Astyanax mexicanus: one gene and its partners. Each later gene encodes a partner of the first gene's protein in a complex. Links are inferred from orthologs where the notes say so. Each region holds a gene or a part of one and is shown on either strand. Other genes may lie near its edges. The genes, in order: tgfb1b, itgb8, itgav and nrros.

Evidence for each region.
Region 2: the proteins of tgfb1b (region 1) and itgb8 are in contact, whole or in part, in a cryo-EM structure (PDB 7Y1T), measured with the Homo sapiens proteins. The link is inferred for Astyanax mexicanus from reciprocal best matches to the Homo sapiens genes TGFB1 and ITGB8. Residues at the interface, in NP_000651.3 of Homo sapiens: His117, Thr241, Arg243, Arg244, Gly245, Asp246, Leu247, Thr249, Ile250, His251, Gly252, Met253; in NP_002205.1 of Homo sapiens: Ser156, Ala157, Ser158, His160, Asn161, Asp213, Tyr214, Asn215, Leu216, Gly248, Asn249, Ile250, Asp251, Thr252, Glu254, Gln286.
Region 3: the proteins of tgfb1b (region 1) and itgav are in contact, whole or in part, in a crystal structure (PDB 5FFO), measured with the Homo sapiens proteins. The link is inferred for Astyanax mexicanus from reciprocal best matches to the Homo sapiens genes TGFB1 and ITGAV. Residues at the interface, in NP_000651.3 of Homo sapiens: Gly242, Arg243, Arg244, Gly245; in NP_002201.2 of Homo sapiens: Asp178, Asp180, Phe207, Tyr208, Gln210, Ala245, Asp248.
Region 4: the proteins of tgfb1b (region 1) and nrros are in contact, whole or in part, in a cryo-EM structure (PDB 7Y1R), measured with the Homo sapiens proteins. The link is inferred for Astyanax mexicanus from reciprocal best matches to the Homo sapiens genes TGFB1 and NRROS. Residues at the interface, in NP_000651.3 of Homo sapiens: Leu30, Ser31, Thr32, Cys33, Thr35; in NP_940967.1 of Homo sapiens: Phe194, Glu195, Ile196, Glu197, Gly198, Gly199, Phe201, Leu210, Leu212, Pro218, Cys219, Ile220, Val221, Asp222, Phe223, Gly224, Leu225.

Annotation. Positions count from the first base shown.
Region 1 is NC_064424.1:5,653,312-5,661,059, reverse strand, and holds the start of tgfb1b (transforming growth factor beta-1 proprotein), read right to left. Parts: upstream 3,359-7,748; 5' UTR 1,667-3,358; coding exon 1,324-1,666; intron 1-1,323. Other genes in the region: b9d2 (B9 domain-containing protein 2), read right to left, coding at 5,388-5,701, 6,906-7,031, 7,171-7,258. UniProt on the Homo sapiens protein: Transforming growth factor beta-1 proprotein: Precursor of the Latency-associated peptide (LAP) and Transforming growth factor beta-1 (TGF-beta-1) chains, which constitute the regulatory and active subunit of TGF-beta-1, respectively.
Region 2 is NC_064410.1:2,967,983-2,975,662, reverse strand, and holds the start of itgb8 (integrin beta-8), read right to left. Parts: upstream 3,419-7,680; 5' UTR 3,113-3,418; coding exon 2,887-3,112; intron 1,673-2,886; coding exon 1,587-1,672; intron 1-1,586. UniProt on the Homo sapiens protein: Integrin alpha-V:beta-8 (ITGAV:ITGB8) is a receptor for fibronectin. It recognizes the sequence R-G-D in its ligands.
Region 3 is NC_064418.1:49,338,045-49,346,161, forward strand, and holds the start of itgav (integrin alpha-V), read right to left. Parts: upstream 3,286-8,117; 5' UTR 3,017-3,285; coding exon 2,856-3,016; intron 1-2,855.
Region 4 is NC_064413.1:1,024,502-1,032,291, reverse strand, and holds the start of nrros (transforming growth factor beta activator LRRC33), read right to left. Parts: upstream 3,379-7,790; 5' UTR 3,273-3,378; intron 1-3,272. Other genes in the region: fbxo45 (F-box/SPRY domain-containing protein 1), read right to left, coding at 6,331-6,516. UniProt on the Homo sapiens protein: Key regulator of transforming growth factor beta-1 (TGFB1) specifically required for microglia function in the nervous system.

The DNA of each region.
Region 1 (7,748 bases):
CAATTTTTTGCATAACAACACAAAATCTATCAGATTACAGATCTGAGAGGCTGTTACCTTGTAATGTATAACAGAGGTTACTCTTTCTTTCCTGGGAAGGTCCTGATGAAAGCCAGTTTTATCATAACGTTTTTGATGGTCTTTACACTTGAGGATACTTCCTTGGACGTTTTTGAAAAAAAAATCGGATTTGACTGACCTTCATTTCTTTAAGATTTTTTTTTCTGATGCTCTCAAACACATTAAGAGACAAGAAATTTAAGTAATTAACTCTTGATGAGTTCAGCACAGCTGTTAACTGAAAGCCTGAATTCCAAGTCTGCCTCATAAAGCTGACTCAGAAAATCCAGCCAAGACCGACAAAACTAATATAAAGATATAAAAATCTACAATCTTGTTGACTATAAAAAAATAATATTAAAAAAACCCACTAAATTTAAAGTGTCCATACTTTTGACTGATACGGTATCTACCCAATACCATTAATGTTACTCCAATCATCAATACACATTGAAGAACTTTTGTACCACAAACCTAAAGGATGGTAAAATCTATTATTTCATTTGCTAAACAAGTTTTATATCAGGTTTAACCTTTTATCTGACAAGTTTTATCTTGTCATTTATCAGTTGAGTGCACTATTTGTCTAACTGAGCTCTTTTTGTTTCTTTACTTAGTTGAGACGTTCTTCTCATAATATATTTTAGAACATTATTCAAATATTCACTATTCACTGTATACCTGTAACTCTACCTCTTCACTACTTTACTTTAACTGATGCTCTCAAACACTTTATTAAGAGGCAAGAAATTCAAGTAATTAACTCTTGATGAGTTCAGCACAGCTGTTAACTGAAAGCCTGAATTCCAGGTGACTCTACCTCATGAAGCTGACTGAGAAAATCCAGCCAAGGCGTGCAAAACGAATATAAAGATATACAAATCTACAGTCTTTAAAGTGTTTAAACAATTAAAGAACACTGAATTAATGCACAACGTTTGTGCCACCAACTTTTAGGATAGTAAAATCTATTATTTCATTTGTTAAACAAGTTTTATATCAGGTTTACCCTTTTACCTGACAAGTTTTATCTTATCATTTATCAGTTGAGTGCACTATTTGTCTAACTGAGCACCAATCAATCAATTATTAATTGATTTCCTCACAAGATTCAAACAGTACTTTTCCTGCTGATGTATAGACCTGCCAGACATGACAATACTGAATTTACATGTGAAAACGACAACGGTGGTCAAGCTAGATCACCACACCACACCACACCACACCACCTATAAATATATATATATATATATATATACTCACACCGGGTCATGTTGAACTTGTGAACCTCCTTGGCATAATATGCCTCCTCCTCTGCCTCCTCAGAAGCCATGCTTGCGGTGTTCTGCGTCAGCTCCTCGCTCAGCTCCACCGTGCTGTTGTAGACGGACAGCACTTCTTCTGGAACCTCGTCTGTCTCCTTTTCTTCGTCCACCTCCGGCTCCTTGGCCAGACGCAGCTTGCTGAGGATCTGCCCTCGGATGGCCTCGATCCGCTTTTGTTTCACCAGCTCCAAGTTCAAAGGCTTGCAAGTAGACAGAGCGTCACTGTGGGATGCAGACTGCAGCAGGCACAGCAGTGCCAGGATCAAAGCCTGCGCCTTCATCCTCCGCAGATGGCTTCGTAGGGTATATTTAGGTCCTGAGGAAAGCTCGGCGCTGTTTGAGGGAGGTCGAGGAGGAAAACGGTCTGCTATAGACTTAAAGCGTACGCACTCTGGATGCTGATTCCGCTTCAGTATTCCAACACAAAATTTCCATTGGCCAGAGGCGCCTTTTCTTGAGTTCCAAGCTCCGGGGTCAGGATCAGAGTCACTACACCGCTGAGAAATTGCTGCCCATATCTGTCTTGCTGGCAGGCAGCCTTGCTGGATCTGACAAACTCCCAAATGAGCTCTCAGGGATCCAACATGCTGCCACACAATAAACTAGAGGAAACCTCACTTGTTACCACACATTATCTGCAGAACACAGGGCACGACTCACCCCCGTGACTCCAAAATTTCAATACATCACTGTACATGACAGCTAACTGGAGCTACTCCTCTTTTTTTCTGTCTCAGTGCTGGCTTCACAACCCTTGCTGTGGTCTAAACTTAACCTAAAGGAGTGAAAGAGGAAAAGGAAGCAGGATAGCTTAACAAAGTGACACAACACTTCCTTTACCACCAAGCAATTGCCCAATCAGACTTGCTAACAAGCTGTGTACAACTCAGAAGTTTATACTCACAAGTCTTAATAAGGCACTCTAGACTGCCACACAAGACTGCTGGACAAAACACTGTGCAAAATATACAGCGCTCACATACTTGTGCTCTCACATCAAACCAACATAGTTTCCAGCACCATTAGAAGAGTCCCAAGAGCCCCAGAGTCTGGGATAAAACACAAAACCAGTACTAGTCAATACAGCCTTTCACAAGATCAGATCACATGAGTTATAAAAAGCTAATCCTCTCCACAAATTACTGAAACAACCAAAATTACCAATCCAATTAGATCAAACCTCTCAAATCTCTCAAACGCATCTCAATCTCCCAGACTCTTCTCTTCAAAAAGTCAAAAGACAGAATCAGCTCCCACAGGGAGCTTCCTAATTTCAAGCTGTGAACAAACAGTAGTGTCCCAAGAAGGCAAGGAGGTTTCCACAGAGAATTAGAATCAGAGACACCCAAACATTACGCCAGCTGCACTCAGACCCACAACACAAGCCTTCTGCTCTCAGAAAAAAAAAAGAGCAAAGCTCCCTTCTTCCTCCCCGCCCCTTCTTATTCTTGTCTCATCAGCCATTGGTTCAACAACTAAGAGGAACTCGGATATAAACAGGACAGGATGACAATACGCCACAACACCCTACCACTGTCCCCCATCTCAGCACCTACCTAAATTCAGACACACACTGTGTTACAGTTTGTAACACAAACAGGAAGGTTTCTGCAGCCTCGAACAGAAAATACGAGCAGAGGAGAACACTGACACATCAAAAGCCATGAAGGTTCCTGTGTTAAGTTAAGCTATTTTAAGGAGGTTGCACATTTTCTGCTAAACACTCTACTGCTTTTGAATCGCACATTGCACCTCTGAAAGAAACACTTAAAGTAAAAGAGACACTGTTCCTTTTACCCTCATCTTAGCTTGCTCCTCGTTCCTGTAACAGTCGCTAGCCGAAGAGAAAATGATTTGTGAAAGCGCAACGTTCCGTGCAGGACAACCGACTCAGTAAACCACAAGTGTTTTTCAGCTTTCTTTTTGCTGTAACCACGCAGGAAATGAGCATACTAAAACATCTGCAACACATCAAACCTGGGGTGACTTTGCTCTCATCATCAGTAGCAGCAGCATACAGAATACAGAACACAGGGTGGTATGGATGTGCAAATCGAAAGGAGCATGAATTGTGATTAATTGTAGGGGGTGTGAGCGGGGGACATACAGAAGATTACAATTTTCATTAAAGTGGAGGTGTATTATTTTATTCCTAAACTGAAAGCAGAAGCATTTCTGAGTGAAGAAGAATGTATTATGTATACAATATTGGTTTGTTTCAATGGTACCAGTTTAATGGAACGACCATCCCTATTAAGCCGAATATATTCATTCTAAAAACTGGGTTGTTTGGTTGCTTTTTGCAGGAGTTCTTCTTCTGGCCATGTCACGTGTCTTTACGTACTTACGTCACATTTTTTATGTACTTACGTCACTCAGTTTTACTGAACACGAGCGGCTGGTGGAGCAATGGAGACTTCAGAAGAGGAAACTCAGAGCTCAGTAGCTCATTCACTCATAGTAAAACCAAAGAAATGAAGTAGTGAAGTTTCTGACTGAGCTCTCTCTCTCTGACTGAACATCTGAATCCTGGAATCTGATTTATCCCCTCTGAAAGGAGACCGCATCACACCTGCTCAGTTTAAAATTATTCTTCCGCATGCTCGGTGCAATTACCCATTCTCACCAGAGAGGGCTCTAAATCACTAAAATCCTAGAATTTACAGACATCAGCTTAAAATCTCAAAAAACACAATGTTATGCAGTGTATGCTAAAGTGTATTCCTTTAGCACAGGGGTTTTTAACATTTTTTTCCACTATGAATAATAGTGTCTTTTCTCAAGAGTTTACCCACTTTATGTGATGTTCCAGACATGTTTTAACAGGACACAAAACAGTGCAGAATATAATAATTCACTGAGAAATTCTGAAGTCAGGTTTTGTGCACATTTTCTGTCTTTTGCATTCCTGCTTTCAGTTTCAGTTCTACCTGGAGGTGTACACCCACAACACAAAGTGAGAAAATGAGTGAAACTGAATCTGAAAGTTGAGCCAAGCAGACAAAGAAGAAAGAGTCGGTCTGATAAAATGAAAAGACGACCCTAGATCAAATCAGGATCTGATTCTCTGGACGTTCTGCAAAATAAAAATCTTGCAACCCCCACCAAGTGACTATATCAGGGCTAGTGATGAGACAAAATATCAATATTGCGATACATCATATTGTTTTCATTTGCGATATATTATCTATACATGGCATCAAATATGGATTATTTTGTATTAAAACTCTGAACTCCCTAAGACTCTAAGATACCCCAATTTGACTTATGCCTTATTTCTTCATATGGTTGCCCTAATCAAACGAATAGGGTAAACCTGCAGTAAAGAATATTGATTGTTAAGTTTTGTGAAACTGAAACACCAATAAATCCATAATCTTGCTATTTGATTATTTAGGAGTATTTTATCCTCTTCAGTAAAACAGATGCAGTGAAATATCGTTGAGAATTATCTTGTGATATATGGAGTTTTCCAGAATCACAGTATCAAGATATCATCATTATCCTGGGCAATAAATTGTGATAATATTTCTTCGTGAAATGCCTGCTTTAGCAGTTGCATGGTCACTGTTGTGCTGGCAGTAATCAAAATAATTGTCTGGAGAATGGAAAATTTAAGAATCCATAACATTTACTTCTGTTAAAACACGACACATACTGCATTATTAAAAAACAAATCACATATAAAATTGGTTGTAGAAAATCAATATTTTTAAAAAGTGATCAAAGCACTGTAGTGAACATTATCAGTCAGAGTGAGGTGAAAAACACAGAACGTATCACTGCATTGCTTCATACACATCCAAGAATGCCATTTCCCTCTTTTCCATCCAGAGCTGTGGTCTGGCTTATTCAGAAACCAGAAGTCAAATGACTCATACATGTCCATTCTTTTAAAAAACGCTCTACACTGCATAACACACCGCATAACAACTCCACTATATTCCTAATAAACAACTCAAGTCATTCTGCTTATATCTGCACACTAAAGGTGTCCCACACTTAGCTCTCCACTCCGTATCTGTCAAAATGCCGCAGGATGACGCAGAGGTCCAGCTCTACATTGCCCATGGCAACAGTGTGAAGTCTATATCGGTCCGCTCCGCTGTAAATGAGGTCAGGAGAGCGAAGCTGAGGTCCTCCGCCGACAAACATCTGAGCTAGCTGCTCCTGCCAGGTCCCCAATGGTCTCCAAGTGGCACACTGCAGCCGGTGCTGGCCAGGGCTGGACGGGATGTGGCAATAACCATAACCATACAGCTCACATCTGCCAAAGGAATCCTGATGCCACACTTGAAGGTGAAGCTTTGGCCAACCTTTAAAAAAAAAAAAAAAAAGTTTTAGAAATTCTGATTGATGGGCACATTGCACCAAAACTAGACTCGATGTTAGACTAGATTTATATTATTTAACTACTGTACTTTACGAACTAGAAAAAAATTAACAATAGCCCAAAAAGGATCTAAGGAACTAAATTGTATAAACCAGTGGTTCTCAAACTGTGGTATGTTTACCACTAGTGGTACTCTAGATTACCTCATAAAATTAAAAAAATAAAATTCTGCTTGTATTAAAATATTAAGGACTGAAAACTATAAAGTTTCAACTGGAATTTTCCTTACATTACATCTGTTAGTGTTTAGCGCTTTACCCATTAGAAACTGTATTTAAGCCTACACTTCAGGCCTTTACTCTCAGAACTCAAGTTTTATAATTATTAACAATTATTAGTTTTATTGGCCCCAGAGTAAAACCATGTGGAACGCCACAAGATATGCTAAATCCTTCTGAAATCTCTCGAACTACACACATTTAGGGCATTTTCACACTGTCCTGAGTTATAGAGTCAGCACCCTGGACTGATTCTTGGCTCGTTTGGGAAAGAGGCTCTTAATAACTGGTTTGTTTTCACACACAGGAACTCTTTTCAAACTGTGGATTGAACACACATTACTGTACATCACTTTTCTAAAAGAAGTTTCACAATATCTTCGTCCATTTGTTGCTTTTCAGTATTTTTATTCGATTCAAAAAATTAAATGGTGAGAAACAAGATTTTTCACAAGAATTTTTTTTTTTTACATTATGGGTTTATTAGGCAGTAGGTACTATTATACTGATAGAAAGGGACGTAACATGATAAGTGGAAGAAGTTACATTAGAGAGTGAACCAATCACACAACCCTACGCATGGCACAGGGAGAGGATAGCTTACACAACTGCAGCGAAAGCTTATTAGAGTCCATTTTAAACTAAACTTCAGACCACATATTTCTAGAGTACTAGATATTGGTACCAATTGGGACCAATTTCAGGCTCAATAGCATGTCTCCTTTTGTTTATTTATATTTACAGTTGATATGCTAATAATCAATGATCTGTGGAGTTGAGATTTCTTTTTTTAATCATCATTTTTTCGTGTCTATGTGGGTTTGTGTGTTTCTATAATGAATATCTTTAACTATTAAATAAAATAAAACATTAGAAAAAAAGAATACCTGACTGAAATTTCACTCATACCTTGAAGGCCCTTAGTGGTGTAATGCAAGTCAATAGGATGACTCCAGTAAGCTGTGTCACCTATCTGGGGCATGTCCACTTGCGTCTGTCCTTCCTTCAGTCCAGAGAGGAGCCTCCATGCTCCTCCTGATGGGCAGATTGAGAGAGACACAATGAGAATGAAACTAATCCAGGTTTAGATTCATGAACAACAAAAGCAAACACCTTGCAACCAAAACTAAAAAGATTGGAGGGATGTGAGATAAGATTAGAGACGATTGGATACCTGTGTGAACACCCCACTTGCAGAACAAACTACTCTGAGGGAAACCGCTGGCCCCGACAATCTGTCCGATTATGTGCAGCTCTGCCATAAGACTCTGCAAAAGATTGGAAAATGAGTTACATCTGAAGATTTTTTTTATATAAAAAAGATGAATAAAGGAAAAGAAAGAAAGAAAGGCAAAAATAATAATAAAAAAATACATACAAAAAGACATTTTTCTTATTATAGTATAAAATAGGTCTGTAGTGTGAACCAGTTTACAGTAGACACTAAACAGTAGGTTGGAAATCAGTAATTAAAATGATAGTACTAATCAATCAGCTAACTAATATCAACATAATATACCCCACAATTCACAACAGCGAAAATGCAATAAAAATAAATAAATAAAATGAATAAATAAAATAAATAAATAAAACATAAACCTTACAAAACTGTTTCTGAATTTAATTATATATCTGATGTAGAATATCTTGACAGCAGATCCACAGAAGAAAGCAACAGTGTAATCTAATAAGTCAGCTACTCTTTCTGTACATATGGAAGTGATTACATATATATGAAGAGAGCCAATATAT
Region 2 (7,680 bases), on another chromosome or scaffold:
ATGATGGAACAACACACTGCCAAATATTTTCCATCACAGACCCAAGCTGTGTTATTGATCGGGTGGATGTGTGTGGGAGTTGAAAGGTTACTAAAAATAAGCGCTAAGTGAGGTTATGTCTTTCGTCATGGCTCTTCTCTGGAGGTCAAAACATCTGTCAATGTGTGAAGCCCCATCTTCCAGCTACAGATGAGGGCAGTCATGGTCTGTGTGTGGGCTGGGAAAGCACCTGACACTGCAGGCTCTGTTTGTAGATCTCTAGATCTCTCAGCCTGGCTTTTTTATGGGTTCCCACGGCCACTCCGGCCCTAAGCGGCTTGTTAAGAGGGTGCTGGAGCTTAAGGGGGCCCTGTGGATGCAGACGGAGACCAGGAGTCCAGCAGATGTAAGGAGGGGTGCTTGGGAGGGGGTGGGGTCAGTTAGGAAGCTGGGGGGTGACGAGAGAGGGGGTAGCAGGACTTCTACAGGTCAGACTAAACACGACCCAAATCGTGAAAAGGAATGCTGTGTGTTATTATATATACAGCTCTGGAAAAAAAAATAAGAATCCACTTCTGTTTCTGAATCAGTTTCTCAGATTTTATAGTTCTATTTATAGGTTTATGTTTGAGTAAAGTGGACATTGTTGTTTTATTATATAAACTACAGAAACATTATCCTCAAATTACAAATACAAATATTGTCAATTATAGAATTTATTTGCAGAAAATGAGAAATGGCTGCTTAGAGGTGAGTATTATCGGCCTGTAGTCTGCTGCTAACCCCGGCTACCACTGCTGGAGCAGCATTAGCACTATCTGCTAACCGTGCTAAATGCTAGCTCTTTTGTCATTCAGAGGTGAGTGTTATCGGCCTGTAGTCTGCATGTAACCCTGGCTAGCACTGCTGGAGCAGCATTAGCATTATTTACTAACTGTGCTAAGCGCTAGTTCTTTCGCTGCTTAGAGGTGAGTATTATCGGCCTGTAGCCTGCATCGAACCCCGGATACCACTGCTGGAGCAGCATTAGCATTATCTGCTAACTGTGCTAAATGCTAGCTCTTTTGTCATTCAGAGGTGAGTGTTATCGGCCTGTAGTCTGCATGTAACCCTGGCTAGCACTGCTGGAGCAGCATTAGCATTATTTACTAACTGTGCTAAGCGCTAGCTCTTTCGCTGCTTAGAGGTGAGTATTATCGGCCTGTAGCCTGCATCGAACCCCGGATACCACTGCTGGAGCAGCATTAGCATTATCTGCTAACTGTGCTAAGCGGTAGCTATTTCGCTGTTCAGAGGTAAGTATTATCGGCCTGTAGTCTGCGTGTTTACTGTGTTAAAACAAGCTATGTGGGATAAACCACTAGTGCTGTTGGGAAATCTGGAATTCTAAGCTTACTGTAAATAAACAGAAGCGCTTTTCTCACCCAAATAAACAGATGTAATGGGATTTGGGAGGGGGTGGGGTCATTTAGGAAGCTGGGGGGTGACGAGATGGGGTAGCAGGACTTCTACGGGTCAGACTAAACACGACCCAAATCGCCCGGTCTGTTGGAGGGAATGCTGTGTGTGCACCAAGGCAAAATGCACAGCAAAAGCCTCCACATTACCTTCTGAAAGCACCAGGCACATTCCGGTCCACGGCTCAGGCATTCTTCGCAGGATGAGACGAGGGGTGACGCACAACGCTTCTCCGCTGCGACACAGAGGAAAAAAAAGAAAACAGAGCGACGTGATTTACACATGAATGAGGAGCAAGTCTCTATCAAGCCACTACCCTTTCTGCACTCTTCTCCAGCTGCTACGCTTTCCAAAAACATCACGCACACCCCCTCCTGAGAAACAGCCCGGCGTGTCGGGGTTTCAGGCGGTCAGTTCGAGCGCACAGCTCACTGAAGAGGAGGGGAAGCAGTGTGAGCAGTGCACCTGCTACGCTCCTGCTAAGTGAGGCATCAGATGTTTAGTGATCTGAGTGATGGAAGTCTACTGATAAGCAGAATTAAATATACTAAATTGCATAGTATTAGCTAGGGAATATAATATAATAAAATAATATGGGGATTCTGAGATAATGCAGACATATGATACCATGTTCCCCAATTTCTCATACATACCTGATGATGCTGATACTCAAAATTGAGAACAAAGATAAACTGAGAACAAAATCGACAAGTGTGATGCAGGTTTAAACAACCTGTCAGACCTCACAGTACCAAAAAACCACAAAAAAAATAAATAGAACACAATTTATCACATTATCACGTTCGGTTTCTTTGCCTTAAGAAGCTCTTGTGTTCTTTTATCATAAAGTATTCATACAGTATTGGGCGGCGCGGTGGCGCGGTGGGTAGCACTTAAACCACTATAGGCTCAATTCATTTGACTGCTGTTCAGTTAAAGTGCAGGCTCACCACAAGGCATCACCAAACTTACCTACACTGCCTCCACCATGTTTGACAGATGATGCGTTGGCATGCTTCAGATCAAGAACCAAGAAATTAACCAATCAAGTCAGGCTCAACACAAAGCATCACCAAACGTGCCTACCTACCTACCAACAGAACAGTAGCATGTGCATATATAGCCCCTCTGCTCTCCAGCCAATAACACTGCCTTCACCATGTTTGACAGATGATGCGTTGGAATTAACTTGAACTCTAACTTTTTTTCTATGAACTCAAGGTAAGTCTCAGGCTCAACACAAGGCATCACCAAAGTTACCTACCTACCTACACTGCCTCCACCATGTTTGACAGATGATGCATTGGAATGCTTCAGGTCATGAACCCTACTTTTCCTTCTCCATACTCAAGGTGACAACTAAGTCAGGTTCAACACAAGGAATCACCAAACATCATCCAATCAGTATCACACTCACAGTCATCACGCTGCATCATACATCATACTCACCCAACTGACAGGACGCAACAGCGAACAGAGTGATGATGAGGATGATGAAGACCAGCGCGCTCCGGAGGGTAATGTTGCGCTCTTCACGCGGCCAGGACGTCATAGCAGCATCGAGGGAATCAGGAGCAGGAGAAGCGGCTCGAGCGTGCAGGTCGCGGGGGGAACGCTGAGAGCTCTTCACAGCCGCGCGCTCCCAAACAAAAGAGAGCTTAAAATCCCGCCGCATTCACACACACGCACACACATACACACACACACACACAAGCGCGCGCACACAAACCCAAGCAGCAGCAGGATAAAGCAGTCAGATTATCACCGCGAGCCCCCCCCGGTACAGAAAGCTGCTTTGCCTGTGCAGGAGGGAAAAGCACGCGCGCTGCGGGCCGCAGGTAAGGCGGCCATGCCGGGGCTTCGCTACGGACATTGTCGGCCTCCGGTGACCGGAACTGTCGGTGAGGCGCTGAGGGACGGTCCGGCCTGCGGACGCATCAGTCCGGTTTATGTGAACGCGCGCCTACCGGCCTGCCTTTATCCGGGAGGAGGGGGGAGAAGAGGGGAGGAGATACTACTGTATAAACAGTGCTGAGATCAGCGAGGGGGCGGGGGGACACCGTGCGGGACTTTTCTCTCTTTATATTCACCTCTCTCTCTCTCTCTCTCTCTCTCTCTCTCTCTCTCTCTCTCTCTCTCTCTCTCTCTGTCTGTCTCTTTTTATATCTCTCTCTCTTTCTGTATCTCTATCTCTCTGTATCTCTTTCTGTTTCTCTCCTTATATTTCTCTCTCGTTTTGTAGTTTTCTCTCTCTTTCACTACCTTTCGTTATCTTTCTCATTCTCTTTCTTTGTCTCTCTCTGAATCTCTCCCTCTCTCTGTGTATCTTTTTTTTCTGTATGTCTCTCTTTCACTATATTTCTCTCTTGTTCTGTATCTCTCTACACTCTAAAAAACAGAGGTACGATATGAGTACTTTTTTGTACTCGAAGGTACACTCTTTATAATTGTACTCTCAAAGGTATAATATTGGTCTTTACAGGGTCAGATTTGTTCCCTCTGAAGTACAAAGTCATTTCTAACAGCAATAAGTACAAATTTGTACCATTTAACCAGCCAAAGGGTACATTCAGTATTCTGTATCACTGTACTAATGAACAATATATATTTAAATTGCACATGTTTTATTTGAAAGCCAGACAATTTTGTATCATCAAGTTTTTGAGCCATATTCAGTTGATGATAATGTTTATAATCTTTATGATCTTTACTGGCACAAAAACCATGGGTACAAAAAAGGACTTTCACTGAAAGGTACTTTTTTGTGCCTCAATATAAGGTACAGCCCCAGCGACAAGCTTTGTACTCTTTTAAGTACAAATCTGTACTTATATTTCTTAGAGTGTATATCTCTTTCTATACCTCTCTCTTTCATCTCTCTGTATCTCTCTCTTTATGTATGTCTCTCTTTCACTATATTTTTATCTCTTTATCTCTCTTTATGTATCTCTTTCTGTATCTCTCTCTCTGTCTCTCTCTGTGTATGTCTCTCTGCCTGTCTTTTTCTGTTTCTCTGAATTTCTCTGTCTCTCTCTGTAGCTTTCTCTTTCTCCTTCTGTATCTCTCGGTCTCTCTCTCTGTTTGTGTTTCTCTCTGTCTCTATCTCACTATCTGTATCTCTTTCTCTGTCTGTATCTCACTCTCTGTATCTCTCTCTCTCTCTGTCTGTGTCTCACTTTCTGTATCTCTCTCACTCAAATTCAAATAGCTTTATTGGCATGCATTGCAAACAACAACTGTTGCCAAAGCAAACATTTCAATAAATACAAAAATAATAAACAAATTATGACAAAAGTGAAGGATAATAAATAAATAAACCCTCTGTATGTATCTCACTCTATGTGTCTGCATCTCTGTTTCTGTCTCTTCCTGTATCTGGTTAACCAGTCCACAAATATGAATTCTAATTAATAATATATAACATAAAATACTTTGCAACAGCATATCTACACATGGCTTCTGAGAAAAAAAATGGTGTTGTATACACTGCAGCCACCATTACTGTAAATAAAGTTATATATGTTAGCGGCTAGCAGGGGGATGATGTGGGACTTTTCTCTCTCTCTTTCTGTTCTGTCTCTTTCTCTCTCTCTTTTTACTACCTCTCACACGTCTCTCAGTCGTCCTCTGTGGTTTGCAGTGTGTAGGTGTGGGACGTTTGTGACTTATTTCCTCTTCCATTCATAAAAAATAGGTTGCAGCCTACCTCTATTGTTAGCAGCAGTTAGCTGTGTTTCAGTCACTCACTCTGCTGTTTACCTCCAGAGCTAAACTAAGTAGCATGTTAGCTTAGCTAGCTGTTGGTAGTAGTAATAACAGTCATTAAACTGGAATTCTGTTGTGAAAATTATCTTCATTGACCATCTTAGATTTCGACCAGCATTAGGTTTGTTTTGTTTCTGATTGAGTTTAATGGTTTTTAGATGGTCTACAAGCAAGATAAGCATGACCAAGTTAGATAACAAGTATAACCAAACTTAACTTATGTAAGTGTGTTAGCTATTTAGTAAACTTAACTTAACTAACTTAACTTTTAGTTTTTTGTTTATAATTTGGGTGACTTCAGTGTTAATCTACAATCCAGACTTAATTTTAAACTAAAAAAAAAAAAAAAAAAACATAAAAATGGGTGTCCCTATGTTTCACTGTATATGTTACTGTACATTATTATATTAATAATTTGAAAAGTCATAAAACATAAATTTATTTTTTCTGTTGTTTGTTTTCTGTAAATTTCAGTATATACTGCTTACTGTATGTAAGTTAACCCTTGTAAAAGGAAAGTGTATTAAGTATATGTTTTAAAAGTTAACATGGAAAAGTACATACTTTTGTAAAATAAAATAATTATATACTTAATGCACTATTTTGGAACAACTTATGGCAACTTAGTTGTAATTGTTGTAATTAATAATAAACTTCTGTGAACTTTTTTAATGCACTTAAAGTATATTGCAAATGTACTCCTTTGCGTATAGATGTATATATTGTGTACACCTTAATGCTACTAGAAAAAAGTACGCCGTATTTAAGTATTGTAAGTTTATTGTTAACACTCTGTTAACCATAGGATTCTCATTTTAATGAGCTATGGTTTTTTTAAAGGTTAAACGTATGACGTTGATTCAGCCATAACATCTACGTTGATCAACGTTTATTCATTTGAAGCATATTGCTTAAAAATAAGTTTTATGGAAAACTTAAAGTATATTTATTTTTTTATTAAGATAAAAAAATATTCAAAAATATAAATATGGCTGTATTGTTTATTTTTCTTGTCCGACGCAGAAAGTCTCATCTTCAGTGAATGTGATTTATTCATTACTTTAGCTCCTATAATCATAAACCATTCACATCATACATAAACATAAAGTTTAACCCCGTGACCCCTGCAGCACACATACTGTAGCTGTACAGCGCCTATTGTTTATCTGTCCACCAACAAACTCAGCGTGAAGCATTCATCCAGCGCCAGCTACCTTAACACCATATAATTTATGTAGCACAAACCTTTTTTTCACTAAGTGGGAAACCGTCAAGCAAATGCGCACGAATGAAGCTTCAGGGCCAAGATGAGTCCTGCACCACGCAGGGTGGAGACGCAAGACAATAGTCTCTCCTATTCCCCATGGAAACAGGCCTGAATGGAGGAGCTGGGGAGGGATTTAGGAATGGATCCAGCCTCGGAGCATGCGTCCGTATTGGGGGAAGAATGCAGGACGACTGAGAGATGGCCCCTAATGAATAGAGGAAAAAGAAAACTGAGCGAAGGGAGGCTGCTGTACTTTACCGCCAACATTAATGAGGGGGTAATGTAGGTCATTGCCCTGGAGCCCTACATTAATTGTATAGGATTTAGCTTTTTTTGGATTTTTTTTTTTTTTTTTTGAGAGTAGGGGGGTAGTAATGCTTACATTGGAACAAACTTAGCATGACATAGTTACCCAGGTCTGAAAACACTGATTAAGGCTACTCTTTGTTTCCTTTGTAGTCCGAGACTAGGCTTAATCTGCGTCCAAAAAGCAGCTCTAGGGATTTGAGTCTGTTTGTGAGCCTGCGAGGCAGAAAAGTATTAAGTTCATAAACTCGGAACTTGATACAGATAGTTGCTGGACTCTAAATGAGACACACTTTTACAAACAGAGCTTTCTAAATGGTTCTTGGCTCAGAAAAAAAAAAAAACATTATTTCCAATATTGAGCCTTTATAAAATAACTTGTTAAAGATTTATGAACTTTTAAAAGGTTCTTCACACTCAAATATGATAGAAAAAACATCATTATGCAACATACTGTATTCTTTAATATGAGGCTCTCAATTCATTTGCATTTTATTGCATAAAATAGAATTAGTTTTTCTTTAAGAAGTCCTCCAATTTTGCAGTCATTACCTGTATTAATTGCACCTCTGTTATCTGTATAAAAGACACCTGTCCACTCAATCAATCACATGGCCAACAATCACAACCTCCTTTCCTCAGTAACAGCATTGAAGATGTGGCTGGGTCTTCCAGCATGACAATGACCCAAAACACACAGTCAGGGAAACTAAGAAATGTATGCATAAAAAAAAAAATGAAATAAAGTTGAACAAACAAAATAATTTATTCCTTAGGTTCATACTCTCTGCAATGAAATAAAATACTTTTTTTAGTTTTCCGAAACACTGCATTCTTTCCCTTTCTGTATCTACTTGTTATTTTTTTCTCTACCGACCCTTTAACCATATTTAATCATATTTTTG
Region 3 (8,117 bases), on another chromosome or scaffold:
AAAAAAATAAAGGAATAATAATGTCCACATATCGATTAGTATAGAGCAATTACAATGGTATCAAATAAAATAAGATTTAATGTAATGTACATATAATTACACAAAAATAAAGATATAGACAAAAAAATGACAATACATTAGAGTTAAAAATAACTTAATATTAAAAAATATTAAAGTAATACTCTATAAAACTCAAATAACGAAAAGGAATTGTACTATAGTAAACGTATGGGTAACTAAATTAAAAGAGCAGTAACTGTACTATATTGAAAGTATAGGTACTGTATCACAATGTAAATCAATTAAAAGAGCAGACATTGTACTATAATGAGAGCATTAGTACTTTATCACAGTCTAACTCAATTAAAATAGCAGTAAATCTACTATATTGAAAGTATAGGTAATGTACTACAATATAACTACATTAAAATAGAATAAACTGCACTACAGTGACAGTATTAGTACTGTATCACAATGTAACTCAATTAAAAGAGCAGTAACTGTACTATATTGAAAATATGGGTACTGTACCACAGTCTAACTCAATTAAAAGAACACTAACTGTACTATATTGAAAGTGTAGATACTGTATCACAGTCTAACTCAATAAAACAAAACAAAAAATAAACTGTACTAAATTGAAAATACAGGTACTGTATCTCAATGTAACTCAATTAATATAGCAGTAACTGCACTAAAGTGGTAATATGGGTACTGTTTTACAGTCTAATTCAATAAAACAAGCAGCAACTGTACTATAATAAGAGTATTAGTACTGTATCACAATGCAACTCAATTAAAAGAGCAGTAACTATGCTATACTAAAATATAGCTCATGTATCACAGTCTAACTCAATTAAAAGAGCAGTAATTCTACTACAGTGACAGTATTAGTTCTCTATCACAATGTACAGCAATTAACACATAAGATTAAAAGTTCTAATCCTGTAAGAGTCAGGACATGTTTTGCTTTTTTAGTGGTATAAAATGTGGTGGGTGATGGGCGGAGTCTTAAAACATCAGCATAGCTGTGGGCAGTTTCATTCTGCACTGAAATAAATTCAGTCTGATGCTTTCACAACAACTCTTCTGCACTGGGCTTCCTTTAAAAGTATGATTAAATACTCCATTACTGATTTATTTTACATAATCATAGTGGGTTTGGATTGAATGTGTTGTGTTGTATCTCCTGAGTAATACTAGGGGGTAAAATGTGTTTAAAATGACTCCACTGTGGGTCAACAAGTTTCTTAATACTTGTCAATTGGTACAGTCTGGACCATTTAAGGTGGACCGAAAAGTTTCAAAAGCAACAGAGTTAAAACATTTCAAAAGAAAGCTGTAGATCATATGGTTCTAAAAGTTGGTGTAAATGCCCAGTCCACCTTAAATGGTGAACTAGCTGCACTCTAGCGCCAAAGACTTTCACTTTGGGTCTACAAGTTCCTTATATTTGGTAATTGGTACTTTCTGTATCATTTAAGATGGACCAGATAGTTCCAACAACAACCAAACCACATCTGTAGATCATACTGTTCTAAAAGTTGGTGGAACTGCCCAGTCCACCTTAAATGGGGAAGAAGTTGCACTTTATATGCCTGAGGCTCAACTAGAAACTCCACTGTGTCTAACTACAAGTTCCTTAATACTTGGTACTCTTTGGTACTCTTTGGTACACTCTGTATCATTTAAGGTGGACCAGATAGATCCAACAAGCAAACCACTAAGCTTTTTAGACACTTCTTCATAAGTAAGCTGTAGATCATGCTGTTCTAAATGTCAGTGGAAATGCCCAGTTCACCTTAAACTGTGTAGAATTAGCACTCAATGCTGAGCTAGAAACTTCATTGTGGATCTACAAATTTCTTTATACTTGGTAATTGGTACTATCTGGACCATTTAAGATGGACTGGAGAGTTCCAACAACGAAACTCTGCTTTTACACACTTCTTTACTAGAAAGCTGTAGATCATGTGGTTCTAAAAGTCAGTGGAAATGCCCAGTCCACCTTAAACTGTGCAGAAGTTGCACTCTAGAGCCTGAGGCTTAACTAAAAACTCTAATTTGGGTCCACAAGTTTCTTTATACTTGGTAATTGGTACTCTCTGGACCATTTAAGGTGGACCGGAGAGTTCCAACAACAACCAAACCCTCAAGCTTTCTGACACTTTTTTTACAAAAAAAACGTTGTTTTAAAAGTTTGTGGAAATGCCCAGTCCTCCTTAAACTGTGCAGAATTAGCACTCTAGAGCCTGAGGCTTAACTAAAAAACCCACTTTGGGTCTGACCATAAGTTCCTTTATACCTGATACTTAGTACTCTATGGACCATTTAAGGTGGACCGGTGAGTTCCAACAACAGCCAAAGTCTGCTATTACACAATTCTTCACTAGAAAGCTGTAGATCAAGTTGGTGGAAATGCCTAGTCCACCTTAAACTGTGCAGAAGTTGCACTGTAGCTCCACTTTAGATCTGACTATAAGTTTCTTTATACCTGGTACTTGGTACTCTCTGGACCATTTAAGGTGGATCGGAGAGTTCCAACAACAGCCAAAGTCTGCTTTTACACATTTCTTCACTAGAAAGCTGTAGATCAAGTTGATGTAAATGCCCATTCCACCTTAAGTGGTGCAGAAGTTGCACTGTAGCGCCTGAGGCTCAACTACAAGTTCCTTTAGACTTGGAACTTTCTGCATCATTTAAGGTGGACTGGAGAGTTCCAACAACAACCAACTCTCTGACTGTAAGTTTCTTTGTACTTGGTACTTGGTACTCTTTGGACCATTTAAGCATTTAAGGTGGACCGCAGAGTTACAACAACAATCAGAACCCCAACATTTTTTAAACACACTTACTGTTTATCAGAAGGCTTGAAGAAGAAATCCACAGAGAACCCAAAGTAGCTTCCCTGCGGTCCGGAGAACACGTACGGGTTCTCTATGTCCAGATTAAAGGAGGTTCCGGGCTGGAGATACAAGGTTAGTGTTAGGGAGATCCAGAAGAGATGGTACTCCATGGTTCTGCCGGGCTTTCAGCTTCAGAAGAGTCCAGAAGCTCTAATCAGTGCACACACACACTCTCATATACACTCACACACACTCACACAGCCGCATACACCCATAGACACTCATAGACAGTCTCGCGCGCTACATCAAAGACATCAAAGCGTCCCAGTGTAGCGTCTCGCCGGCGCGCGCTGCTCCAGTGTTATGGAGGAGTGTGTTATGGAGTGTGTGTTGAGGTGCGTGTTCTGGGCTCTGCTCCGCTGATGTTGATGTTAGCCGGGGGTGGAGACGATTAAACAGGATGTGACAATTTCTGTGACGTCACGGGGACTTCCTCCATCTCCACATAAGGACTGATCCAGTCTAGACTCAGAAGTTTTAGTAAAAAAAAAACTATTTATGATGTTTCTGTTGCTTCTTTTCACGTTTTTGGTGATTTTATTGTATATTTCTCCCCCTACTGTCAGGCTGTGTATATATACAGCTCTGGAGAAAAGAGGAAATAAAAGAGTATTTATTTGCAGAAAATGAGAAATAGCTGAAATAACAAAAAAAAATGCAGAGCTTTCAGACCTCAAATAATGCAAAGAAAACAAACAAGTTCATATTCATAAAGTTTTAAGAGTTCAGAAATAAATATTTGGTGGAATAATCCTGGTTTTTAATCACAGTTTTTTTTTTTTCATGAATTTTGGCATCATGTTCTCCTCCACCAGTCTTACACACTGCTTTTGGAGAACTTTATGCAACTCCTGCCACTTTAAATGCATCCATCTTCCTCTTGATTATATTTCAGAGGTTTTTTAATTTGTCAAAATTAAAGTAGTCTCTTATTTTTTTCCAGAGCTGTAGATGCATAAATATATACAGTACTGGATCTCAAAAAATGAAATATCATTGAAAAAAAAGTTACTTTATTTCAGTAATTCAGTTAAAAATGTGAAACTCATATATTATATAGATGTATTAAACACACATAGTGATCTATTTTAAGCGTTTATTTATTTTGTTGTTGATGATTATGGCTTACAGCAAATGAAAACCCAAAAATCCGTGTCTCAGAAAATTTGAATATTATGTAAGATCTTTCGGCAGTGTGGGCAGTGTGCCAAGTCCTGCTGGAAAATAAAATCCGCATCTCTATAAAGGTTGTCAGCAGAGGGAAGCATGAAGTGCTGTAAGATGACATTGATTTATGTTTATTTACAAATTTAAAAAAAATAATAATACAAATAATATTTGCTTTTTAAAAAATAAATAAAATAAACAATAATAACAATACTAATTTATCAACACAATAATTTTGTTTTCTTTATGTTATGTAATCTATATATACAATTTAAATAACATAATGAGAATGAGTTTTATATATACAATTTAAATAACATAATGATAATGAGTTTTTTTAATATATGGCAGTCTGCTACATGCAGTGCCATTAATTGATTTATTGAATCATCATCCCATAATGAGCATAGTTTTTAACAATTGCTGTTTATTATTAGTTTCAAAAATAATTATCACAATGATAATAAGGAACATACGCTCATCACTGAATGTTCTATACAACCCTGTATCAGTTTTGAAATTGACTCAAATTAAAATAAAATTTCACTAAAATATATTATATCTGATTAAAACTTTAAATCTCTCTTGAAAAAAAGTTGTATTATTTATTATATTTATAAGAACAGCAGCAACAACAATAATAATAACAGGGTGTGGTCAGTAACTCAGAGCTTTTAATGGCTGGACTTTAATGGTTTGAGCTCAGGCTCAGACAGTCTGACACACACACACACACACACACACACACACACACACACACTTTATTCAGACTTGGCCGAGTGTGAGTCATGCTTTAGGAGTGTGTGTGTATAATATTGTGTAAATAGTGAAGGTCTCTGGTGTTGTATGAACCATAAGGAGGAAACATGGAGTGTGTATATTGTGTTTGGCATGCATCCACACACATACACACACACACACACACACACACACACACACACACACACACACACACACACTCACACAGAATAATCCCAAACCCTGAAAAAGTTTCTCGGCTTTCCTTCAGACGGAAAAACAAGGAAGGCCTCGTTGGCACATTCCACACACAGCTCAGAGTACCATACACTACAGAGAGCCGGGTTCAGCAACACAGCTAAACACAGTACATTACAGTACAACACAGCACAGCACAGTACAGCACAGCAAAGCTAAACAAAACAGAGTACAGCACAGCTCAACACAGCTCAGCACAGCCCAACACAGCACAGCACAGTACAGCACAACACAGCACAGCAAAACACAGTACCGTACACTTCAGTACATCAGCACAACACAGCACAATACAGTATAGTACAGCACAGTACAACACAGTAGAGTGCAGTACAACACCGCACAACATAGAAAATCACAGCACAGCACAATACAGTACAGTACACTTTAGTACATTAGCACAACACAGCACAATACAGTAAAGTACAGCACAGTACAACACAGCAGAGCACAGGTGGAGGAAATGTACTGAACTCAAAAATACTGGATACCAGTGGGACAAAATACAGATATCACAAAATATCTGATACATTATCGATTTGTGGCGTCAAATATTAATATTTTTTTATTGAACCATAGTCGCTATAAACTGGGGGTGTGCCGAAATATTGAATGACATAATAACAGCAAAAAATTCATATAATTATTTACTGATATTCCTAAAACTAATGACCTTACTTAAAACTAGAAAAAATACTACCAAGTGGTATTAATCACTGTAATAAAGTGGCCAGTAAATGAAAGCCCAATGTTACAGTAGGTGTTTGCAAGTCTTTGTGATGCATCAAGAGCCGCGGCATCCAGGGTAATGTCAGCATACCACCAAGAAGGACCGACCACATCCAACAGGATTAACTGTGGACGCTGTCTGAAAGGGATGTTCGGGTGCTAACCCGGATTGTATCCAAAAAAATCACGCAGAATTCAATGTGCACCTCAACTCTCCTGTTTCCACCAGAACTGTCCGTCACCACAATAAATTATTGTGCTCTAAAACCAGGTGTTCCAGTTTCATTCTCCAACCCCTGTAGTGGCCAGTGGGTGAAAGCCCAATGCTACAGTAGGTGTTTCTGATAAGGTGGAAACACCAGGTATGGTGGGTGTTTCTGATAAAGTGAAAGTATTTGTTATTGTGGTATTGTCAGAGAGAGAAAGTGAAATCAGTTCAGTGATTTTTTCGGTTCTGTTCTTTTGGTACGCACTGTTATAAAGCCGCTGTGCTGCTGGGAGATAAAAGGGTCAGCGCTCAAAGTCCTTCTGTTGCTCTGGAGAACAATCAGGCTCTGTGTGATAGAGCTGACCGGCAGTGCATGTGGTCAGAGGGGCTTTCGGACACCATGTGACTCAGAGAGCCAGTGAATAATTATGTTTCCCTGATGAGTAAATTACACACAGAGTACAGTACAGATACTGTACTAAAATAACTGAAATCATCCCGTCCTGATCAGACCGAGCCTCAGTCACTCACAAGATAACACCTCATAATTTCTACAGGTTTTAGTTTCCACAGTCAGTGATGGTTTGGAGAGACATGTCTGTCATCTGCTGGTGTTGATCCACTGTGTTTTATTATCAAGTCTAAAGTCAGTGCAGTTTTGTTTTCCCACAAAATCGTACAGCACTTGCTCATGCTTTCCTCTGCTGATAACAACTTTAATAGAGATGAGGATTTCATTTTCCAGCAGGACTTGGCACACTGCCCACACTGACAAAAGTACCAATTGGTCTTATGTAAAACAGAGTTTATAAAGTGTTTAAATCAGTTTCTCTGATTTTGCTATTTATAGGTTTATGTTTGAGTAAAATGAACATTGTTGTTTTATTCTATAAACTACAGACAACATTTCTCCCAAATTCCAAATAAAAAATATTCTCATTTAGAGCATTTATTTACAGAAAATGAGAAATGGCTGAAATAACAAAAAAGATGCAGAGCTTTCAGACCTCAAATAATGCAAAGAAAACAAGTTCATATTTAAGATGCAGAGCTTCAAGAGTTTAGAAATCAATATTTGGTGGAATAACTCTGGTGGTTTTTAATCACAGTTTTTTTTTCATGCATCTTGACATCATGTTCTCCTCCACCAGTCTTACACACTGCTTTTGGATAACTTTATGCTGCTTTACTCCTGGTGCAAAAATTCAAGCAGTTCAGTTTGGTGGTTTGATGGCTTGTGATCATCCATCTTCCTCTTGATTATATTCCAGAGGTTTTCAATTTGGTAAAATCAAAGAAACTCAATTCTGAAGCAGTCTCTTATTTTTTTTTCTGTTTATTACTTTTCAATAATTTTCAAATGTTTAAATGCACCTATACTTTCTTCAGTACTGCATGTTAAGCAAGTTGTATTAAGTTGTGTTGGACCTCCAGAAAGTCAGTCGTGCTGAAACTGTTGCAGTGCAGTGTATTAGTTAATGGTCATGTTTTTGAGAGTCTGATCACGGAATCGCCACTAAATCAACACTGAGTTTGCAGGAAAAAACACATTCCACAGCATCGTAATGTGAGAAATTCCTCCTCTATCTCTGTTTCTGTCTGCTTATATTAGCTGAACTGGACCGATTTCAGAATCTCCATCAGCAGAGTGAGATACGAGCCTATCGTACAAATCCCAAAGCCTGAATAATGAGCAGATCCTCTGGTCAGGAACACATTCCTACGGGTAAAAAGGTGAAGAGGTCACTACAGACATGATCACTAAATAAACTCACTCAGAATACAAACCCTGGAAACACTGCGCTTATAAAGATCAGAGAAAAAAGACAGACTATCAAACTGAACACAGAATAAACTTCGGATTCACCATCAAATACCATTTAAAAGACTAAATCCTTCTATTTGTTTAATTTTAATAACTTGTGTCCTTTATATGAGTCAAGATTATGACCTAATAGTAGTCAAAGCGGAGAAACAGCATAACTTCGTAATAATCAAATTATATGCAGGGTTTTCTAAAACTACAGCATCTGTAAACCTTTATCTGTCTTAAAATCAGAATAAATCTTTGATTCTGGTCTTCCACTTCTCTATATGAGTGTACAGCCGACTGT
Region 4 (7,790 bases), on another chromosome or scaffold:
AGTATCTACTATAAATGGATCAGTATCTACTATAAATGGATCAGTATCTACTATAAATGATTCAGTATCTACTATAAATGGATCAGTATCTACTATAAATGATTCAGTATCTATTATAAATGGATCAGTATCTACTATAAATGATTCAGTATCTATTATAAATGGATCAGTATCTACTATAAATGATTCAGTATCTATTATAAATGGATCAGTATCTACTATAAATGATTCAGTATCTACTATAAATGGATCAGTATCTACTATAAATGGATCAGTATCTACTATAAATGATTCAGTATCTACTATAAATGGATCAGTATCTACTATAAATGATTCAGTATCTACTATAAATGATTCAGTATCTACTATAAATGGATCAGTATCTACTATAAATGATTCAGTATCTATTATAAATGGATCAGTATCTACTATAAATGATTCAGTATCTATTATAAATGATTCAGTATCTACTATAAATGGATCAGTATCTACTATAAATGGATCAGTATCTACTATAAATGATTCAGTATCTACTATAAATGGATCAGTATCTACTATAAATGGATCAGTATCTACTATAAATGATTCAGTATCTACTATAAATGGATCAGTATCTACTATAAATGGATCAGTATCTATTATAAATGATTCAGTATCTACTATAAATGATTCAGTATCTACTATAAATGGATCAGTATCTACTATAAATGGATCAGTATCTACTATAAATGATTCAGTATCTATTATAAATGGATCAGTATCTACTATAAATGATTCAGTATCTACTATAAATGATTCAGTATCTACTATACATGGATCAGTATCTACTATAAATGGATCAGTATCTACTATAAATGATTCAGTATCTACTATAAATGATTCAGTATCTATTATAAATGGATCAGTATCTACTATAAATGGATCAGTATCTACTATAAATGGATCAGTATATGCTATAAATTATTCAGTATCCACTATATAAGGGTCAGAAAATGCTATAAATGATTTAGTATCTATTACATATGGATCAGAATCTATTATAAATGACTTAGTATATACTATAAATGATTCAGTGTCTACTATATGTGTATCAGTATCTGATAGAAAGGATTCAGTAAATGCTATAAATGATTCAGTATCTATTATAATCGGGTCAGTATCTACTATAGATGGTCAAAAAATGCTATATTTGATTCAGCATCTATTATAAATGATACAGAAAATGCTATATATAATTCAGTATCTATTATATTCGGGTCAGTATCTACTATAGATGGTCAAAAAATGCTATATTTGATTCAGCATCTACTATAAATTATTCAGTATCCATTATATATAGGTCAGTATCTACTATAAATAGTTCAGTATCTACAATAAATGGTTCAGAAAATGCTATAAATTATTCAGTATGTTCTATAAACGAATCAGTCCCTACCATGAATGATTCAGTAGCATCATTATTTCAACGATGGTGATCGAAACAAGATTTCCAACCTCGATTGGACTGTCAGATTATAATGCTAAACAGAAGGAAGATAATGGTCACCAGAACCAATACATATAAATAAAAAAGACTAATATGGGCAATTAAGCTATTAATAATTAAGCTATGCATACAGAGGTTTCTGAAGATGCCCCGCAAAAATCTGAATCTGAAAAAAAGCACAAAAGAACCAGCGAGGACCTGCAAAAGACTCTAGAGAGGAGAATACCCACCTGAAGTGAGTCCATCAAATGTTTTAGTATTGAATATAGAGTTGTTTAAAGGTTTAAACTTCAGTTATAAACATTTTGAACGCTTTGTCTGTATCTCCATCATCAGATTACCAACAAAAAATGCTAGAAAAATGAAAATATACAGCTACGCTTTTTTATTTAGTAAAATAAAAAACATAATTCTACTTTCTAATAGTTAATAATAATTATAATTATTATTAATTACTACACAGTTTAAAAAGATAATTTTAGTTGTTTAATAATGTCTTACGTAACCATTTAACAATGTTTATTAGTGTTGTATGTATGGTTATTTGTATTACTGTAATTATTTTAGTATTGTAAAGTGTTACCAAAAACTAGAGTATTGTCTGAGGATAATAACTGCACTATTACTTTTTCAGGCACTGCTAAAAGGCACGTATTATTATTAAAAATAGACCAGCATATTGATTGATTACTGATATCAGACAGTATTGATTTCAAATTAAATCTGATTAATTTTTATGAGTAAAAAAAGCATAGTTGAGACTTACATTTAAATTTCACGATACAGTTAAATACTGCTATCCCATGACTTTTGGCATTTTAAAGGCGTTACTAGAAGTAAATGTAAATATTAGAGCAAATAATACTGATTGGTTTACTGATTTTTAACCCTAAAGCAACCCCCATCACCACCCATTTAAAACGAAATGAAAATTGTTGGCAACTTTTAACAGATTTAATTTTTTTATTAATTCTTAAAACCTCATAATCTTAAACAAAGGAGGTTAAAATAAAATAATTTAAAGAAAATCTGCTTCCCTTTTCTTACTTTTATTTAATTTAAAAAATGTGTAAGACTTCATCTTAAGTAGATTTTTTTCTGATTATTTTTGATTATTTTAAAATCTATTTTTTCACCATTTTTACTCATTGTAAGCAGCACAAAAGAAGTGCTGTGCCTTTTGTTTACATTGTTTATATTGTTTACATTGTTTACAGCACCACATCAGCTGGGAAGTGCTACTGTGGTTGTTCTTGCAGTTCTTGTGCTCCGAGTTTCACGAATGTGAACACAAAAGCACTGTTCACTTCCTTTAGTGATTTCAGAGTTTTAAAAAGATTTTTCTAAAAACTCCTGGTTTAGTTTTTATAACTTTTCTGGATGGACCATGTTAGAAATTTTATTTTTTTTGTTTTAAGTTTTTTTTGTTTTGTTTTTTTTTGTTTGTTTGTTTTTTTTTGTTAAATTGAACTTGTTTCAAGATTCTGAACTTTCATTATTTTGTTTTTTTCCAGCAGAAAACTTATAGAAATGTTTTTTTGTATAAAACAATTTAAACAGAAAGAAATATTCAATTAATAATAATATAGTACATATTAATGATATATCACTCATAAAACATTAAAAAAATGAAACCCCATATACATTACGTGGTTCACTGACCAGACGTACTGATGATAAACCCATTTATCAGAGAACTGTATCATTACTTTCAGTATAAACCCTTTCTGTGTGCTGTTATATAAAGAGCATCATCAGATTAACCCTTTACAGTGTGTTCACTCACCTGAGGAGACAGTAAACGGTTCTCCACTCGTTTATCAGCGTGTGATTAATCCCCCTCTCTTCAGCAGCGTGGACTGAAGCAGTGCGTGTATGAGTGTGTATTAAAAATATCCTGTGGAAGTGAAGATAGAGAGAGAGAGAGAAGCAGTAGAGGAGCCTGTAGCAGAAGAATGGGTGGTATATACCCCCTTGTGGAGGTTAAGAAGTAGACATCAGCCCTTAATTATTCCATTTATACACAATTCTATACATAAGAAGAGCTAATAATGGGGATAAAACATCCTCTAAAAGCTTTACTGTGGGAAGAAACTGGGCTTCTCAGAATATCTTATGTTATTTAGGCGATAAATTGTCCCAGAAATAAATGGAATAAATTATATTACTGTCACTTTGAGACCACGGTCATTTTATGCCACTGATATAACAATTATATAACAATAATAATAATAATAATAATAATCCCATTTAAAGAACAATAAAAGAGCAAAACAATTACAGTAATTATTCATCTTCAGACATTAAATTTCAGATATAGAAAATGTTTAAATATCCTCCTTATTCAGCATATATCAAATTAAACACACACTTTTTGCTTGTTGAAGTGGTAGTAAACACAATGGGCAATACCAAGGCCAGCTAAATTATTAATTAAATTATTGAGATCACATTACATATATATATATATATATATATATATTTTATATTCATACTTTTATGGACACGCGGATTTCATTTTCCAGCAGGATTTGGCACACTGCCCACACTGCCAACAAAAGTATCAATTGGTCTTCTTATATAATATTCTAATTTTCTGAGACACTGATTTTTGGGTTTTTATTGGCTGTAAGCTTCATAATTAATAATCAACAATAAAAGAAATAAACGCTTAAAATAGATTATTCTGTGTTGACTACATCTATATAATATAATATGAATTTCACATTTTAAACTGAATTACTGAACTAAAGTAACTTTTCAATGAGCTCATATTTTTTTTTTTTTTTTAAGATGCATCAGTAATGAATTTACATCATTTTTATACTCATCCACCCACACTTTCAGTGACCTCTCGTGACCTGTGGATGGAGAAGCACTGAGTAAAAAACACCCTCATCAAATCAGAAATGTTTTTATCATACAGTGGTGGAAAATATGTATTTAATACAAAACCTATTTTCAAGTTTTCCCTCCTATAAAGAATGTAGAGGTGTGTAGATTTTGATCATAGGTTCACTTTAACATTGAGAGACTCATTACCTGCATTAACTGCACCTGTTCCAACTCGTTACCTGTATAAAACACACCTGTCCACTTAATCAATATACAATTACCTACCTAATCAATCACACTCCAGCCTCTCCACCATGACCAAGACCAGTGATCTGTCTCCAAACACCAGAGACTAAACTGTAGAGCTGCACAAGACTGAGATGATCTACAGCAGAACAGGCAGCAGCTGAGAGAGAACAACAACTAGCGTTTAATTATTAGAAAACAGAAGAAACTGAAGATGAATGTTAATGTTCTTCTTCTTCTTTAACCCTTGTGTGGTGTTCATATTTTTGTTACTCGTTTACTTTGTTATTTGTATTTAATTCAGCAAAATTAAGCAATTCTACATTAAAATGCTTTACACATGCTCGCTTCACCTAAATTGCAAGCAATATAAACAAACAGCTTACATGGTTAATATTTGCCCTTTACCTTTCTTATGTTACATTTCTTTCAAAAAGTGCTACTCTTTTTTTATTAGTTTTTTAATAAAATGTAAAAGAAAATGAATTAAACTCAAGATATGAGTAGAAAATTTGTTTAGTTTCAAATTTACAAATGAAGCAATGTTTATTAGCCCCATGGCCAATCATACTGTATGTAATATAAATGTGTAGAGAGGGGGGGTATACAGTGTGTGTTTATCAAAAATGTGTTTTGATATATATCTTTTTCACAAAAAATGAGCCAATCCCAATGAGTTTGAGTTAGAAAAAATATTTTTTTAGTATCATTTGATGAAAAATGAAAACGAACACCACACAAGGGTTAAAATTCTACATCTGGTGTGTGCTTTATGTTCTTAGTGTGAATAAAATCCTATATATGGTATATTAGATACATTTTATATTACAAATCATTGTAACATTACATCATCTGATTTTATTTATTTATTTATTTCCTTACGTGGAACTGAGGTCGCATTCATCACCTGTCTGAACTTCTTTCTTTCTTTTTTTAAAGAACAAAAGGTAGAAAACTACAACGGCCGGCACACTTTCACAGACTGGCACCATATAGTTTATTTACAGGTCCCACGACCTCATCGATATCAAGGATAAAACCTAATAAATAAATATCATACACTAGTACATCACAATTGAGCAGTACAGTAACATTGTTACAATAGGTTTTCTTTTGGATTTCCTGCACAAAACACCGACGTCCAAAGACGGCATCGACTTTACTGCATGCAAAGTACTCTAGTGAACTCCTCTAGTGAAGCAGCCTCGCCCGAATCCTCGCCCGGTTCCAAATGGTCAAGCTGTGTGGAGGTAATAAGAAGAAGGTGGTTTTGGCATTGGTCGTTCGCTGCACTGCTGGATCTGTTGGAAGTCCTAAAGCCATCCCTCCGGTGCGTCAGTGGATCAGGTACAGACAGTAATTTGTGTTAAAGACGCTTTTTGTTTTGTTACTGTGGATTATACGGTTAGACGATCAGGATCGGAGGGGGGTGTTAGGGTTAAAACTTGCCACGTGCCATCTAAAGTGGTTTGGCTTTGATTAATCTAGGATTATGAGCTAGCCCAGTGTCTTTATTTTTTGATAAATTATGTGATATAAATCAGTTTCAAAAACAAAACAATAGTCCTCAACAGCCATCAGGGGGAGCATCCAGAGACGTGCCGGATCCACGGAAGAAGCGTGCAGTGGAGAGCCTCGCCGTTCCCCCCCCCCTGTAAACCTTTAGAGTTCCCCCCGTACGACTCTCGGTGCTCTGACTTGTGGACGTCTCTTTCCTTGGCACTCGTGATGTCTATGACGTCTATGTGGCACAGAGACGGTCCTCAGCCATCCAGAGGCTTCCCCAGGTAGACCATGGTGACCTCCGTGTTGCCGTACACAGCCGAAACCGCAGGGAAGAGGCAGGTCTTGGGCAGCCCTCTGAAGGCCACGCCCAGAAATTCAAAACCTCGCTCGAAGGCCAGCGTCTTGTCGTCCATGTCCAGGATCACGCGTATTCTCTCCCCGATCTAAAACAAGATAAAAAATTAGGATTTAATCTGCTTGGTTTGTTTCCACACAGGTACAAATTGCCCACCAAAATGCACCAAAATGCCCACCAATAAACCACGCAAGCACATCAGAGTCTAATATGATTTGACAAACAGTGTTTGGTGTGGGGGGAAAAAAAGAGTAAATATAGTGATGATAAATATAAGATTCTGTGTTCCAGTGCGCATATATGCCTATCATTGCAGTGTGAAGCTGATTTAAAACAGAATGCTGAACTTTTTGAACAGTGTTTTTAATGGGAAGTAGTGAACACTGCACAGACCGTGCTCTTAGTGTGTAAACAGCACGGAGCAGCAGAGCCAGTGTTTGTTTATAGCTGTGGTACAGCACTATACTCTTGAGTCTTGAAGCATCCAGTGTGCCTGCTCTTGTTTACTGTAAATAACAGGTTTTAAGTTTACCTGAATATATTTTTAGTACCTTCAAATCCTCAACATCTCCTAAAACATAAACAGTCACTATAAAATGGGACTGTCTAATAGAGGATGTGTTTCTACGTGAGCTAAATGAGACAGTAAAAAAAATTGCCAGCTTGGATTATAATGTGCCTGATAAAAATGTGATTGCATCAGTCTTTGCTGCAAAAACTGGAGCAAAGTTGGACCATGCAACAAGACAATGATCCACAACATTCCAGTAAATGCACATGAGAGAGTATCAGAGTTCAGAGTATCAGAGTTCTATTTCAGACGAACGAGTTAAAAGAAAAACTTTGTTACTTCTGAATTTTTTTATATATTTTACAGTTCCATATTTAGTATTACTACTTTCTAAACTCTCAATATTGTTTTAATGAGGATTAAATGTGCATATGTTTTAATTTGTTAACCAACCAGAGTTTTCCCCTGATTTTTTCACAAGGCTGTATTTTATTTGCACTCTGAACAGAAACACTATTTTCTGGTACTTCTTCAGCATTTATATGGCTAGAATGAAATGAAAGGCATTAGTGGCTATTTATAAAAGCAAGGAGGTAATATTATGCTTGATATGTGCATTGTATAATGCAACAGACTAAATTGAAGCACATTTAAAAGAATATAAATAATATTTACTTTTTCTTGTGCTGTGCTATAGAACAAGCTGACTGGAATTCAAATCCAATTCTAATTGGAATAAAAACCATTTTATGAATGTAACCGATACCTTAAGTGCTTAATGACATTTCTGGCACCAGTGCAAAAAGCGAGCTAATGGCACTAATTTGCTAATGGAGCTTAACAGAGCTAAA